Rattus norvegicus: one gene and its partner. The protein of the gene in region 1 interacts with the protein of each later gene in a pairwise test. Links are inferred from orthologs where the notes say so. Each region holds a gene or a part of one and is shown on either strand. Other genes may lie near its edges.

Region 1 (7,338 bases):
CTTCTTCCTAGGAGGTGACTCGAGCACGAATGACATGTTCTTAACACTTTGCCTTCCTTCTAAAGCCTTGTTCTGATGTCACCCTGAACCAATACAGGACGCTTCCCAGGAAAGATGGGACACTGAACTTCGTTGTTTATTGGGGCAGATGACAGGGGTACTAAGGACCTCACTGTCCCCTGGACAACCCCCTCCCACCGTCACGGCTCCCTTGAGGGTGGATTTATCTGGCCCTTAAAAGCAGCAGTAGGACCAGTGTTCACTTGTTCTAGGGTTGGACCAAGAATAGAGCCAGCCCAGGCAGTGTCTGACCCTGAGATGAGGGCAGGGCCCTTGTTGGCACTTTTCCCTGCAGAGGCCCTGGAAAGTCTGTGGCTCCTTGTCTTCTCTCTGACTTACCATGACACCCGCTAAAGAGCTGGAAGTGAGCTCTGGGTCGTATCTCTATGCATTGGCTGCTTTTCTCTTTTCCTTACAAAACTCTCCTACATTTTGTCTTAAAGTAATTGTAGACTTACATTCAAGTTACAACTATAGCATGGATCCGGGTGTGGTAGCACATACCTTTAATCTCAGCCTCAGAGGTAGAGGCAGGTCAATCTCTGTGAGTTCAAGGCCAGACAGGGTTACATTATGAGACCCTGTCTCTAAAAAAACAAACAAAACAAAACAAAACAAATATAACACATAAAGCTTTCAGTCATCTTGACCTAGTGCTCCCCAGTGGGAATATCCTATACATAGTCCCTTTACCACTGCCAGGACCTTAACAGCACATCCAAGACCTAATAATCCCATTCAGGAAGCCACAGCCTTACTGGAATCTCACCAGTGTTCCCATTTTTGTCCCCTTTTGTGTCCCAGGGTCTAGAAATGCCTGTGTCTGATCTACATGGTGACTGTGACTCCTCCAGAGTCATTTAAGGAACTACTAATACAGCCCAAGTCCCCTCCACCACTGCCCTTTCACCTGCCTCTTTGTCAGGAGACAGGATTTTCTACATTCCCAGCCCTGTCCCCGTGTCCCTGACTCTGCCTACCTCATATCTCCCAGCTCACAGGCCACATACATGTGTGCATGAATGCACCCTAAGATGGCCTTCTCCCATAGGTGCTGGGAGAGCTGCACTAGTTGGGCTATGTTAGTCTGAGGCTACCCACTCCATGGGTGTTCTCCACCTCAGAGGAGAGAAGACATACTTAGAGGGGGACTATCTCAGCTTCCTTCCCTGTCTCATGATCCCCTTTCTGTCCATGACTCACTCACCTGTCTCTGACCACTGCTCTTTATCCCAAGGCCTTTTTGGTTACTTCCCCAAGCACTCTGGGAAGGACTGTACCCCCTTCAAATGCCTTCTGTGTGTCCCATTCACCATTTACAAAGGGCTTTTGGTGTCTGTTGCTTCAGTGTGGCTTATGACAAGGCAATTAGGTGCTCCGCAGCAGACGAGTGTTTTCCCCGTCCCCCATGATAATGGGGAATGGAACTGCGGTTGTGGCAGTCTTTGCTCTTCCAGGCAGTTGGGCCGGCTGCTGTTTATCTTAGGATGCTCTCCCAGCCTGCCCAGACATGACCTCACCCTCTCCCAAATCATCCCTGGGAGGCAGAATGGAGTCTCTGACCAGTGCTGCCTCCATTTCACAGATGGGAAAACTAAGGCAGGGGGGTGTCATGGATAATAGAGAAAAGGGAAGGAAAAGAGTGGAAAAAAGAAAAGAGGAGGGGAAGAGAGTAGAGGTGGGAGAGGAGGGTAGGAGAAGAGAGGTGGAGAGGCGAGGAAAGGAGGGGAGGGGAGCAAAGAGCTTTAACAAGTGGATCTGCACCCTGGGGCCTGATCTTGCCCCTCTGCCATTGACTAGGAGGTCTTTAATGGTCTTGAGTGCCATTAAATACTGCGGGCCACTAACTGTGTCCAATCTCACACAGATTTCCTGTCCAGGGAGTTTGCAGTTGGCATCAGCGTCAGGGAGAAAGGCTGAGACCAGTCCTGTAGGGCCAAGATTGCCTGCCAGTCAAGTCTACAGAGCACAGAAGTGTTTTTGTTTTTTGTGGTGCTGGGAATTGAACCCAGGATCTTGTGTATGCTAGGCAAATACTCTACCACTGAGCTACACTCCCCAGTTTCCTCTGTGTGTGTGTGTGTGTGTGTGTGTGTGTGTGTGTGTGTGTGTGTGTGTGTGTTCTCGCGTGCTGGTGTGTTCTATGGGCTATGGCTTTGATATCCTACCTAGAGAATAGGTGGGCTGTCTGGTTCAAATAGTCAGTCCACAGCTTCTCCCAGGCTGCTATCTTGGCTTCTCAACAAGCATGGAAAAGGAGGGCTGTTACAGACCTACTGTACAGATGAGGACATTGAGGCCACCCAGGACACAGAGCAAGTCAGCCAGGAGTGGCTGGATGTCTGGTTTAAACTCCAGAGCTGTGTCAGCACCACCAAGCCACTGTCCCCCAAAGGAGGTACACAGAGCCAGCAGAAGGCTGGGAGGAGGGAAGGGAAGGCAGGGATGGAGTGAGGAGCCCAGACTTGGCCTGCTCTGTGGATTCCTCCCAGCTGGCCCTGCCTTCCTGTCCTGAGTGGAGGTTAAAGAAGCTCAGAGGAGGAAAGGTCAGGCTGGGAGAGAAGCAGGAGCTAGCCAAAACAATCCACACCCTGTTCCCCATGGCCAGGACCTGAACGCTGGGTAGGAGGGCACCACCCCTGCCCTCTAAAGATGTAGTCTGCTTCAGAAGCCTTGAAACTACAAGGGAAATGCATTGAGCATAGGAATCGGATACAGGCTACAGTGCTGACTTAAAGCTCCTTTTCATCCCCCAATAGCTTCTTCTCATTCCAGCCCTGTCCCACCTTGACCACCTGTCCTACCCCTCCTCTAAGGCCTGTCAATCATGTTTTGTTTTGTTTTATCCCCCAAACCAACCCTTTAGCCTAGGACTTTTAAAATGGCTTGTGTCCGTCGACCTAGACAGAGCAGAATTCCTAACGCAACGTTATGTGTCTCAGAACATTTTAACGAAGTCAGAAAGTTATTTGGGGCCAATCTGTCCTGAGCACTTCTCTAGTTTGTTTATGGTAAAAGCTGGACCGGTGGGAGCAAACGGCGGAGCCTCGGCTTCCGTAATGTCATCGGACAAGTGACGCCATCGACCCTGGTCACGGTGGTGTTCATCACCCTACAGGCAGGATGACATCACCGTCGGAACCCGCACGGACAAGTGCGTGCTGGGTGAATTAGCTAATTGCTGGGGAGAGTGTGGAGTGAGCGACCAGCGGCTAAACCCCGGGAGAGGAGGGGGCAGAGGGAGGATCCCGGAGCCCCGCCCCCTCGGTAACCGCTGCGAGATGGCCAATCCGGGCAGGCCGCAGTGATGCGCAGCCTATCAGAGACCAGATGTCTCCCGGAGGTTCCGCGTTAGACTTGGCCCTCAAGGCAGGGGGGGGGGGGGGGGGGAGCGGCCCACCGCAGCTCAAGTCCCTGCTGCCTGCCTCCGGGGGTCTGGCAGGTCCCGGCCTGCCACCTCCCCGGAGACTTGATGGCCACGGAGGGCCTGGCAGGGGCGCTGGCCACCGTGCTGGGGGGGAAGGGGTTGCTGGTGCAGAGCTGTGACTCGGAGCCGGCTGGCAAGCCGCTGTTGCCCGTGCGACTGCGGAAGAATGTCTGCTACGTGGTGCTGGCCGTGTTCCTCAACGAGCAGGTGAGCGTCCGACGACTAGCCAGCCTTCGGCTGGTCTCGGGAGCGTGCCGCCTGCCCTGATCGAAACAGGCGAGCCAACGGCCGCTGCCTGTGCGTGGCGATCCCAATGTTGCAAAGCACTCTCACACTAGCAACTGAGCAGAGATTGTCCTTATATAGACTCTATAATATAGAAGAAGAAGCTGAGGTCCCGGAGCAGTTATCTCATTCACTAGACCTCGTCCCACACCAGGAGAGGCCTGTAGTATTCCTCCTTCCTTTCCAGGAGTCTAGCAGTGCCTGACATGCAACGGGGATTTCCTGGACTCTCCCGGCCCCAAGGGTAGAAATGGGAAGCTTACATGCAGGCCTCCGACCCTCAGAGTTCTTTTTAGTGATTACCTCTGTATAAGTCAGCGTTATAAAATCCTGGCCAGGGGTTGGGGATTTGGCTCAGTGGTAGAGCGCTTGCCTAGCAACCGCAAGGCCCTGGGTTCGGTCCCCAGCTCCGGGGGGGGGGGGGGGGGGCGCGGGTATCCTGGTCAAGTAGGGGTAGGCTGGTATGGAGGTGGAGCTGAGTTTCAAAGCCTCAGATCTTAGATTGAGGATCTGACACAAGCGGTTTGTAAGTCACATGGAAACAAGAGCAAGACAGTGGCATAAATGAGTCAGTATAGGAGTGGTGGCAGCCTTCAGGATGAGGCCTCCTTAGAGCAACGCCCAAGGACCTCAGACCCTTTCTACAACAGAAATTCCTCCGGGTCCAAAGTTGAGTTACAACAAAAAGGAGGCAGCCACAGCTCTCAGCCTCACCAGGGCCTGGCTCCTGGGGATCCAGCATCATGAAGGTGTCTCTACTAAAGGAGCTTTGGACCACCATCCAGGTAGGAGCTGCTCTTTTGAAGCTCCCAGATTAGCTGGAAAGTGAAGATTGTCTTGCTTCCCTCTCAGGATGAGGTGTTGATGATCCAGGAGGCCAAGAGAGAATGCCGGGGAACATGGTACCTCCCGGCAGGAAGAATGGAACCAGGGGAGACCATCGTGGAGGCCATGCAGCGGGAGGTGAAGGAGGAGGCTGGGCTGCTCTGTGAGCCAGTGACACTGCTGTCTGTGGAGGAGAGGGGTGCCTCTTGGATCCGTTTTGTATTCCTTGCTCGACCAACAGGTACAACACAGCTGGTAGCATTCAAGCACCTTTCTTATTGTTTCTTCTTCTTAGCCAGCCATACTGTGGGCTTCTGCACATTGCCCAGGCTAAGAGGCTACAAGCTAAGAGTTTTGGGGTCTCCTGGGGGTGTTTGGGGGGCCATTTACTCTCTCAGGCTCTACACTTCTCATATTGGCCCTCTCCCCATCCTCCAAATCTCTCCTAGGTGGAGTTCTCAAGACTTCCAAGAATGCTGATTCTGAGTCCCTACAGGCTGGCTGGTACCCACGGGTCTCCCTGCCCACACCGCTTAGAGCTCATGATGTTGTGCACCTGGTAGAGCTAGGTGCCAAATTCTGCCAACAAGCCACACACCCTCTCATTCTGCCTCAAGAGCTTCCCTGCAATATGGTCTGCCAGCGGCTGGTGGCCACCTTTACAACAGTTCAGTCAGTGTGGGTGTTGGTGGGTACAGTGGGGACACCTCACTTGCCCATCACTGCCTGTGGCTTTACCCCTATGGAACAAAGAGGTGGCATCAAGGTGGCCATCTTGAGGCTACTACAAGAGTGTCTGACTCTGCACAGTTTGGCAGTGGAGACCAAGGGGTTGCTTGGGCTGCAACATCTCGGCAGAGACCACGTGGATGGTATCTGCCTGAATGTGCTGGTGACAGTGGCTTTTCGGAACCCAGGAATCCAAGATGAGCCCCCAAAGATTCGGGGGGAAAACTACTTTTGGTGGAAGGTACTGGAGGAAGACTTACAAAAACAGCTTCTACACAGACTCCAGGAATCTTCTGTTGTCCCCCTGACCAGATAGATACCAGCAGTGACCAAAAGCTGAGCAGCCACCCTCCCTCTGAGGCAGTGAAGAGACTGGCAGTCAGGGGTCTCATTGCACATTACTCAGGTACAGGAACTACACATTGAGCCCAAAGGGAGGGTGCCATGAATCCAGTCATTCTGAGGGCACACGATGCTTCTCTTTAAGTTTGAAAGGAGCTTTTCGAACCGTAAATGGCACCATCTTCTCTGTCCACTTTGGAAAAGGCCGCATGTCAATCCTTCCAACCCCACAGCAATGTAGAGGGGGATGGGACAAGGGGGATGCATCCCTCAGGGCAGAGTCCTCATTGCTGAGTAAAAAGGTGTTGCTTAACTTGCCTACTTGCCTAAATGTCTGTGTGGGGAGGATATGGGGCATTGTCCCACCCATAGCCACCCAGGTCTTTCCTTACTGATTCTATGCAGGGGTGTAGGGCTCCTGGAGTAGACATTGCTCCTCACTGAAGCCTCGACCCACCCAGGCTCTCTTTAGTGTTTCTGTCCTGTTGGGGCAGGCGTGGGACTTTGAAGTGACCACACCCCTAATAAAAACAGAGCTCAGACCTGTCCAGGTGGTGAATGGTTTGGTCTGGTGAAACTGCCTATGGAACAAGAGCTGAGGACGACACCTTGGCCTCTGCCTGCCTTTTTCTCTTTGTGCTTCCTGGGCCCTGACCTGTTGTTCCATGTGCTTTCTGGTCCTGGGTTTTTGGTTCATGCCCTATCCTCAGTTCATGTGCCCCAGGCTGACTGTGAACTCTTATAATGTAGCTGATGATGACCTTGAATATCTGATCATCCAGCTTCTGTAAAACTCAAGCACTTTTATCAACCGTTAACACTCCCAGGCCATCACAGGATTCTGTTTTCTTGAGATAGACTCTGCCCACATAGACCAGGCTGACCTCAATCAAGTTTGTTGTGATCTTCTGCCTCCGATTCTTGAGTCCTGGGAATACAGATGTGCTCCAGAGGCCAACGCCAAGCTGCTTATCATCATCATTATTATTATCTGATGAAAACCTTGAGGCTGGAGAGGTGGCCCAGCTCAGCATTTAAGAGCATGTGCAGCTCTTTCACAACCACCTCCAGTTCCAGGCTTCCTAGCACCATCTCTGGCCTCTGTGGGCTCTCCACTCAATGTGCACATCTCCAATGCAGACATACATAATTAAAAATAAAAATTTAAATAAAAGCCAAAAGTAGTGGGGCAAAGGAAATGTATCACGTGTTGCTAATCATCGCATCTAGGGGAAAGATTTCCAACTCAGAGGAGCAGGGAAACACGCTTCCTAGCATTCCTTTTTCACAGAGGACAGGATTTAGCTTGAGGAGCCAGAAAACTCGCTGATCCTTTGCCTCGTGCCCCGGGCCTCCTTTGGTAACCATCTTGTCTGGTTTCCAGAGAGGAATCTTTAGAATCTCTGAAGACATTTTTCAAATGCTAAAGCAACGCGAAGTGTGGTGGCATATGTTTTTTTTTTTTTTTTTTTCTTTTTTTCGGAGCTGGGGACTGAACCCAGGGCCTTGCGCTTGCTAGGCAAGCGCTCTACCACCGAGCTAAATCCCCAACCCGGCATATGTCTTTTACCCCGACATCTGGGAGGCAGAGGCAGAAGGATCTCCAGGAGTCTATAGAGCAAGTCCCAGGACAACTAGTACTACAGAGAGGCCCTGTTTCAAAAGGAAAA
Region 2 (7,338 bases), on another chromosome or scaffold:
TTTCTCTAGGTCATTCTTGCAAACAAGGTCTAGAAAGGGATATGGAGGGGCTGGAGGGATGGCTCACAATCATCTGTAATGGGATGGGATGCTCTCTTCTGGTGTATCTGAAGAGTGCAACAGTGTCCTTACATACATAAAATAAGTCTCTAAAAGAAGCGAAGTGGAAACTATGGCTAGACAAGGTTATATATGCTGAGGCAGCAGGTGGGGGTGGGTGCACTTAGCTAAACCTGGTGCAATTTGTTGTTGTTGAGTAGCCCTGGCTGGCCTGGAAAAGCATTATGGAGTATGCATCAAGAACTTATAAATGTAGCCAGAAAGACATCAATATTGAAATAGGTCAATAAACTCATGTACAACAGGAACCAAAAACAGGCAGGGACACACACACAGAGCCCCACAAGAGACTTAATACAAACAAGTTCAACTTCACGTGAGCTTCGCAGGAGAATCATAAATGAGAAGTAAAGCCAGGCAGGCGCGTTGGTACGCACCTGTGACCCAAGGACTCAGCATGCAGAGGTAGGACTGCAATCTGTGCTACTAAAGTCTGAGTCTTTAAAAATAGAAGGAATGAAGGAAGAAATGGGCAGGAGAGAAAAAAAAAGAAAGAAAAAGAAGGAAAATTAGTGAGAGTAACAGGGAAATGGTTAACTTCATTAGTTAATACCAAGTTGGAAAAGTTTCAAGTTCTTGTTTTATGAGACAGTGTTGCTATATCGACCCTACTGGTACCACAGTGAGCCACAATGGCCTGGTTTAGTGATTACCTAATACCTACTTCATTTCTACAAATAAATGATATCCAAGCTAGCAGACAGGTGGGGGGGGGGGAGTGTGCTGTTTCTGGAAAGTTCTAAGGAATGGGATTGCAGAACCCATCTATCTGGTAGTGGAAGTGCTTCACGGACCTGAAGGAGCCATTCTGGTCTAGGAGGCTAAGTGGTCGGGTGTTGCCACATTTTCTACTGCACCATGGAGGGCAGCCTCCATGGATCAGAATATAGGACAGTGATAAGGTAAGCAACAATCACAAGAATAAGAATGGCTTCTTGGGGTTGAAAGTGACACTCCTTCAGGAGGGTCAGAGTCCTATGGTAACTGTAAGCAGATCTCATAAGTCCTAGAAAGTGGAGCCTGAGATCACAGCCCGAGGTCCACCCTCTTGTCCTCCCAAGGCACCTCCTCACAGTGTTGAGCATTTTGAACAACTCTCTGGCTCTCTTGCTGCTACACCAGAAAGCAGACAGGGGTGGAGAGATGGCTCAATGGTTAAGAGCACTGGCTGCTCTTCCAGAGGTCCTGAGTTTAATTCCCAGTAACCATATGGTGGCTCGCAACCATCTGTAATGGGATCTGATGCCCTCTTCTGGTGTGTCTGAAGACAGCTACAGTGTACTCACATACATAAAATAAATAAAAGTCTTTAAAAAAAAGAAAGAAAGAAAATGGAGGTGAATCCATTTCTACCACCTAAGGGACTGGAGAGAAGCCTCGACAGTTAAGAGGCTTTTGTTGCTCCCAGAGAACTTGAGTTTCCTTCCTAGGACCCAGGGATCTGACACCCTCTTCCTGCTTCCAAGGCACCCATACTCTGTGCAATAATAACCACACACACAGACACACATGCGTACACATAAACTCAAAATAAAATAAATCTTTAAAAGAGTGGTGGTGTAAGTCTTTAATCCCAGCACTCAGGAGGCAGAGGCAAGGGATCCCTGAGTTCAAGGGCAGCCTAGTCTACAGAGTGAGTTTTGGGCCAGAGAAACCCTGACTGGAACTCCATCCTCCAACCCGCAAAAAAAAAAAAAAAAAAGGCTCAGAAGAAGTCACAGTGCTTACATAGACAAAGCCTTGGGCTTCATCCCAACACCACATTAAAACAAGAAAAAGCTCAACTGGATATGGTTGGTTCATGCCTGTAAATCCCAACATGCAGAGATACACACAGGACAAGAAGTTCAGAGTCGCCCTTGGCTACACAGGGAATTAGAAATCAGCTTGGCATACATGAGGTTATGTCTAAAAACAAATGACCAGAGAGATGGCTCAGCAGGTAAAGGCACTTACTGCCAAGCCTAATGTCTTGACTTTAATCCAGGGAACACACGGTAGAAGGAGAAAACCAACTCTTGGAAGTTCTTCGACACATGAGCAGTAGTGAGTGTGTATCCATTCCCATTTAAAAAAAAAAAAAAAAAAAAAAGGAAAAGAAAAGCCACTGGCTTCTCTCCATTCTCCAAGTGAAGCCTAGAGAACTAATGTTCATTTAAGTACTGCTGTTTTATCTGTTATCCATGTCTACCCAAAGGGAGAGGTGTGAGATGGGTTGCGGCTAAGTGGGACACGATCTGGGCTGGATCTGTAACACTTCAAACAAGATGAAAAGGGAAAAAGGAAGAAAACAGCAGTCCCAGTGATTGTTTTTAATAAATAAATCTACAAAGGAGAAAAAGCAGAAGCATCCCGAGATGCCACCTCCAAAATGAAGCTACTTGGTCAGACTGTATATTGGCACCTGTCGCTGCCCAGAGTCCAAGATGGGTTGTGTAAGTCACAGTGAAGTGTCTGCTGAGGACAAATATACTAAACTCCAAAGGACGGGCCACTAAAGGCTCAGAAGAGCTATGTTGAGAGGGAAGGTCAGATGTTTTTAATTAACTAAGGCAAGGATGCCAGCGTCGGGCCCGTGGAAACCGACAGTGATACATAAAATAAATGAGTATAAGTTTGAAAAACATTCTTCTCAAGAGCCAAGCCAAACGAATAAGTTTTGAACTGAAACAGAGCGTGTTCCCAAACAAAAAAGGAAAAAACAATTTGCTATTCAGAATCACAGCCAAGAGAAAGCCTATTGCTTGGGAGAGCTAGGAAGAGACGCCTGATCTTTGCCAAGGAAAGACGGGCCCTGGAACTGAGCTGGGCGCGCCCTATTCGCACAACTAAGAAACCTGCCAGAGGCCAAGACAAGCGGCCTGTGAGTGTGACTTCATGAGAGGCAGCTGCCTCTAGGAACATCTCCATGGACTCTTCAGGACTTTGGAAGTTTCTGGCAAGTACTGGATACTAAGTTTACGATGGGATCTTGGAGAATTTCACACCCCGACTGCTTTACACAACGCTTGGTTCACTACTTTGCACTAGCTTTGGCTTCTGAAGTTTCACATGCCAAGGCCTCTCCTGCTTGCTAAGGCCCCATTGGAAGACCAATGAAGCTGAGTCGGCTGCGGTGCTGCACGCTGAACTGGCCAGGAACAGATCGGCGGCCTACCTGGCTTCTCCCAGGACCCGAACCTCTGACTCGTCCCCAGACCCATTCCCGGACCTGAACCTCAGACCTGTCCCCTGGGCTCGTTCCCGAGACCACACGTCATCCTGGCCACAACCCACATTCGGACGCAGGGAGGCGCGTCAGTGCCACCAGCACCCGGCCTCGGGCAGGTGGGCAGGGCCGGCGCGGTGACCCGGTCTCCACGGGTCCCGGCAAGTGACGCCCGGCAGAGGGCGACCCCAGGCCCCGCACTCACCGTCGGCTGCCGCGCGCCCGCGTGGACGTCTACATGCTGGGCCGAGCCAGCGGTCCCTGCTGCCCTACTGCTACCTGGCTCTCAGCGACCCAGCCGCCCGCCACCCCATGGCCGCTCGGTCCAGAGGCCGGCACCACCAAGCAGAGCTGCGCCGCGGATGTCAGTGCGCAAGCGCAGCCCGCACGCATGCGCAGTAGAGCACGTGGGGGGGGGTAGCGCGGCGCACCGCACCTACACAAGACAGGCACTCAAACTTTGGATTTCGCCAAACCCTTTGTAGGCCAAGGATCAGAGGCTGTGAGAGAGAGAGAGAGACGTAACGAGGGAGGGGCGAGGCAAGGAAAGGAGGCGGGGCAGAGAGGAAGTGGGCGGGACAGGGGGAGGAGGAGGGGCAAAGGCAGAGCAGAAGGGTCGCAGCAAAGGAGCTGAAACAGGACGTAGCAGAATAGGATGGGAACAAGGGGGCGGAAGACAGCACAGGAGGGATGGGGCCAAGGTTGGTAGAAAGGGACAGGGCAGACAGTGGGGGAGGGACAGGTTGCAAAAGGGCGGAGCCCAGGGCTGGAGGGACGGAACTAAGGAGACTAAGCGGGAGGGGAGGAGGGGACAAAGGGTGGGGTTGTCCGGGAGGAAGTGGGAGGCGGGGCAGAGGAGGCAGAGGGGGTAGAGGGTGAGGGAGCAAAAAAATAAAAAAAGGAAAAAAGGAAGCCTAGCCTAGCCGAGGAGGGGCAAAAGGCTCTGGCCCAGTTCCTATGACTGTCTCGGCTACAGCAGAGAAAAACACCACCAGATTCTTTCCCTCTTCTTGCCTCCTTGCCTCGCTGTTCGATCTTTATTCCTGTCCTACATCACGCTGTTTGCTTTTTGCTGGCGAGGTCTCCAGGACCATGTAGTCAACGCGGGCCAGCTTGGTGGGAAGGTGGGCCTCGCGACAGATTCCTGTTCCCACCTTGTTCTAAATGGCCAGCGCATGGACCTGGTAGCCTTCAGAAGCAGAACTCAGGTGCCAGCCATGCCTGGAGCATCTGCACTCATTTGGGTCTCAGGCCCACCAGCAGTAACTTGACACCCTTTGGAACTGGCAAAGCCTCTAGGACTTAGGCCTGAAAGTAACAAACCTGACAACTGGCTGATACATTGGTTCGCTACTTTAATCCCAGCACTGAGAGCCCAGGATTTCTAGGAATTCGAGGTCAGCAGGGGGTACGGTAGTGAGAGACTCTGTCTCTAAAAGAAAAAAAAATTCTGATAATTGAGAAGTGACTGTAAACAGCGTGCCTCACCCCCACAGCTTTAAGAGCAGGAAGGAGGGAGGCCATTAACTCACTTTGTAACTGATCCAGGAGTATGCTGAACTGGTGGACACCCAGTTTATGCATCAGACCTTAGACATCCAGCAGTGTGCATACATAGTGCACCTGTAGGTGTTTTGCAGTCTCCTGGCTCCCGGCTCCGTAGTTTTCAGATGGTCACACAATGCTACATTTGTCAAGACTTGGCACCCTGCCATTGCCCTTCCTGTAAAGCCCAATTTCCAGGCACACAGCCTCCATACCTGCTGCAGTCAGGATGTTCTCTGGTGGGAACTCCTGAGACCTGTGTGCTGTCCTTCCAAAAAGAACACATCGATGCAGTGGGGACGAAAAATTGTGGGTAGGGAGGATGGTGGGAAACTGTGGGGATTTCTTAAATTTTGTAACTTCCTCATGAGTTTTGTAAACCTAACTTCTTCCCCAGAGTGAACCCCAGTCACACCCACCAAAGGCTGAAACTGTGCTTTTGTCTATCATATAATAATAATTTTGATTGATACCTAGTGGTAAATGGCAGGCATATGGCCAGGGACGGAGAGATATCCAGAGTGGGAGTAGTCATATCCTTCTGCAAAGGCACCCAGTCTATGGTCTGCAGTCCAAGGTCACACACCAAGTAACCTGTCTAGTCTTAAACTAAAATAGCGGATGTCCAGTAGTTGCTGGGGAAACCCTTTTTCTGTAATGGGGTCAAGGCCTGGACTGTGCAGGTGGCTTCTCCATTTCAGAGGAAGCTGACATTGTGCAATGTCTTGCTGGGAACCACCAGACTCTGAAGACTCAGGAACCAAGTGCTCACTCCCCCAAGTCAAAGGCTTGGAATGGCAAGAGAGTAAGTACTTAGACTCCTAGAGTGTTTAATCAGGGCTGGCTTTAAAGGGCAGCAGATCAAATGTCACATGGGGGTGAGGCACCAGGAAGAGATCAAGGCAATTATACATATTATTGCTTTGGGCCTCCAATACCTGGACTTCCTCCTCCTCAAAGGCTAAATGATAAGGGAAAGGAAGAATGAGATGAGAAGTAGAGGGATCGGCCTCTGCCTAAAGTCAATTTTGGGTGGGGAGTTGGGGGGATGTCAGTCAGGTAAGCTCTCAGGCACAGATATGGGGGGGGGGGGGGACTATGTACCTCTTTGGGTCCTGCCTTAGTACTGAGTGGGAAGTTGGTTTCATGTGACCAGGGTGGGGCAAACAGCTGAGTAAAGGCTGTCCAGTACTAAATAAGGCTGACAGTTAACCAGAAGAGTGTATTACAGAGCAGAGTTGATTGCCATGGGATACTATGAAGTCATCTTGTCCATCCTCCAACAGTGTACTTGGCATAGGCAAAGATCAATACTGATGGCATCATCAGGAGCTAGAGTCTCCTTATTGGGGTAGGTGAGGGGCAATGTTATTATCCCTTCTTCAGCCAAATCAGTGGGACAGCTGCCAGGTATTCAACTTTTTGGGTGCAGCAGGGAGAGTAGGACCCAGCCTTGCCTAGGGTACTTAGGAACAGATGTCAGGCAAGGGAACAGTGGTTTCAGGAGCCTGGGTTACATAGTCACCAGCTGTAATCTTACACTAGGAACTTTTTTCTCACAGAATCCCTGCTGACTATTTACTAGTTCCCACATGGGGAACCCGAGGGCAAATACCTTGTCCAAGATCACCCTGTGTAAAGAGGCAGAGGCGAAAGGCTGCTGGTTGCTCTTGGACCTTGAGGGGTTGGAGGGGTCTAACAGAATGCTGGTGCTGCCAGGTTGAACTGAGAATCAAGGGGCACAATGACGGCAGGATGAGAGTAAGACCCAAAGGAAACAGTAGAGGAAACAAGCTGGACTCAGGCCAGCTTCTGGCCTTTTATCAGGATCCCAACCTAAAGTATTTGGCAAATAATGAGGTGGCTCCCTTTACAGGGCAACAGAATTGGAACCCTGGGGTCATGGAAGGGCAGCCCATGCACTGGAGACAAATGAAGGGACACAGCAAAAGTGGGTTTAAGATACAGCAGCCTTGGGGTTGGGGATTTAGCTCAGTGGTAGAGCGCTTGCCTAGGAAGTGCAAGGCCCTGGGTTCGATCCCCAGCTCAAAAAAAAAAAAAAAAAAAAAAAGATACAGCAGCCTTGGGCTAGAGAGATGGCTCAGTGGTTAAGAACACTGTCTGCTCCTCCAGAGGTCCTGAGTTCAATTCTCAGCAACCACATGGTGGCTCCCAACCATCTATAATGGGATCCAGTGCCCTCTTCTGGTATGTCTGAAGTCAGCAACAGTCTACTTACATGAATAAAACAAACACATCTTTAAAAAAAAAAAAAAAAAGGTACAGCAGCTTCTCAGCTGCCTGTGTGCACCTGAACAGGTAGGCGTATTCCCAGCATGGGCAGCAGACTGGGCGACTACACACAGGGTACCCTAGCATCTCAGCATTCAGAGCATGAGTGATGTTAAATGCTGGATGTAGGTGTGTAAGCCTGAGCATTTGTGGGGCCTGTTGCTCAGGCCTTT

The links.
Region 2: the proteins of Nudt18 (region 1) and Nadk interact in a two-hybrid assay, tested with the Homo sapiens proteins (2 studies listed by BioGRID and IntAct). The two-hybrid records come from large-scale screens. The link is inferred for Rattus norvegicus from reciprocal best matches to the Homo sapiens genes NUDT18 and NADK.

Annotation. Positions count from the first base shown.
Region 1 is NC_086033.1:52,056,842-52,064,179, forward strand, and holds Nudt18 (8-oxo-dGDP phosphatase NUDT18), read left to right. Parts: upstream 1-3,455; 5' UTR 3,456-3,532; coding exon 3,533-3,694; intron 3,695-3,738; exon of another isoform or gene 3,739-4,016; intron 4,017-4,171; exon of another isoform or gene 4,172-4,515; coding exon of another isoform or gene 4,516-4,557; intron 4,558-4,624; coding exon 4,625-4,838; intron 4,839-5,046; coding exon 5,047-5,642; 3' UTR 5,643-5,981; downstream 5,982-7,338. UniProt on the Homo sapiens protein: Mediates the hydrolysis of oxidized nucleoside diphosphate derivatives. Hydrolyzes 8-oxo-7,8-dihydroguanine (8-oxo-Gua)-containing deoxyribo- and ribonucleoside diphosphates to the monophosphates. Hydrolyzes 8-oxo-dGDP and 8-oxo-GDP with the same efficiencies.
Region 2 is NC_086023.1:171,425,859-171,433,196, reverse strand, and holds the start of Nadk (NAD kinase), read right to left. Parts: upstream 3,821-7,338; 5' UTR 3,534-3,820; intron 1-3,533.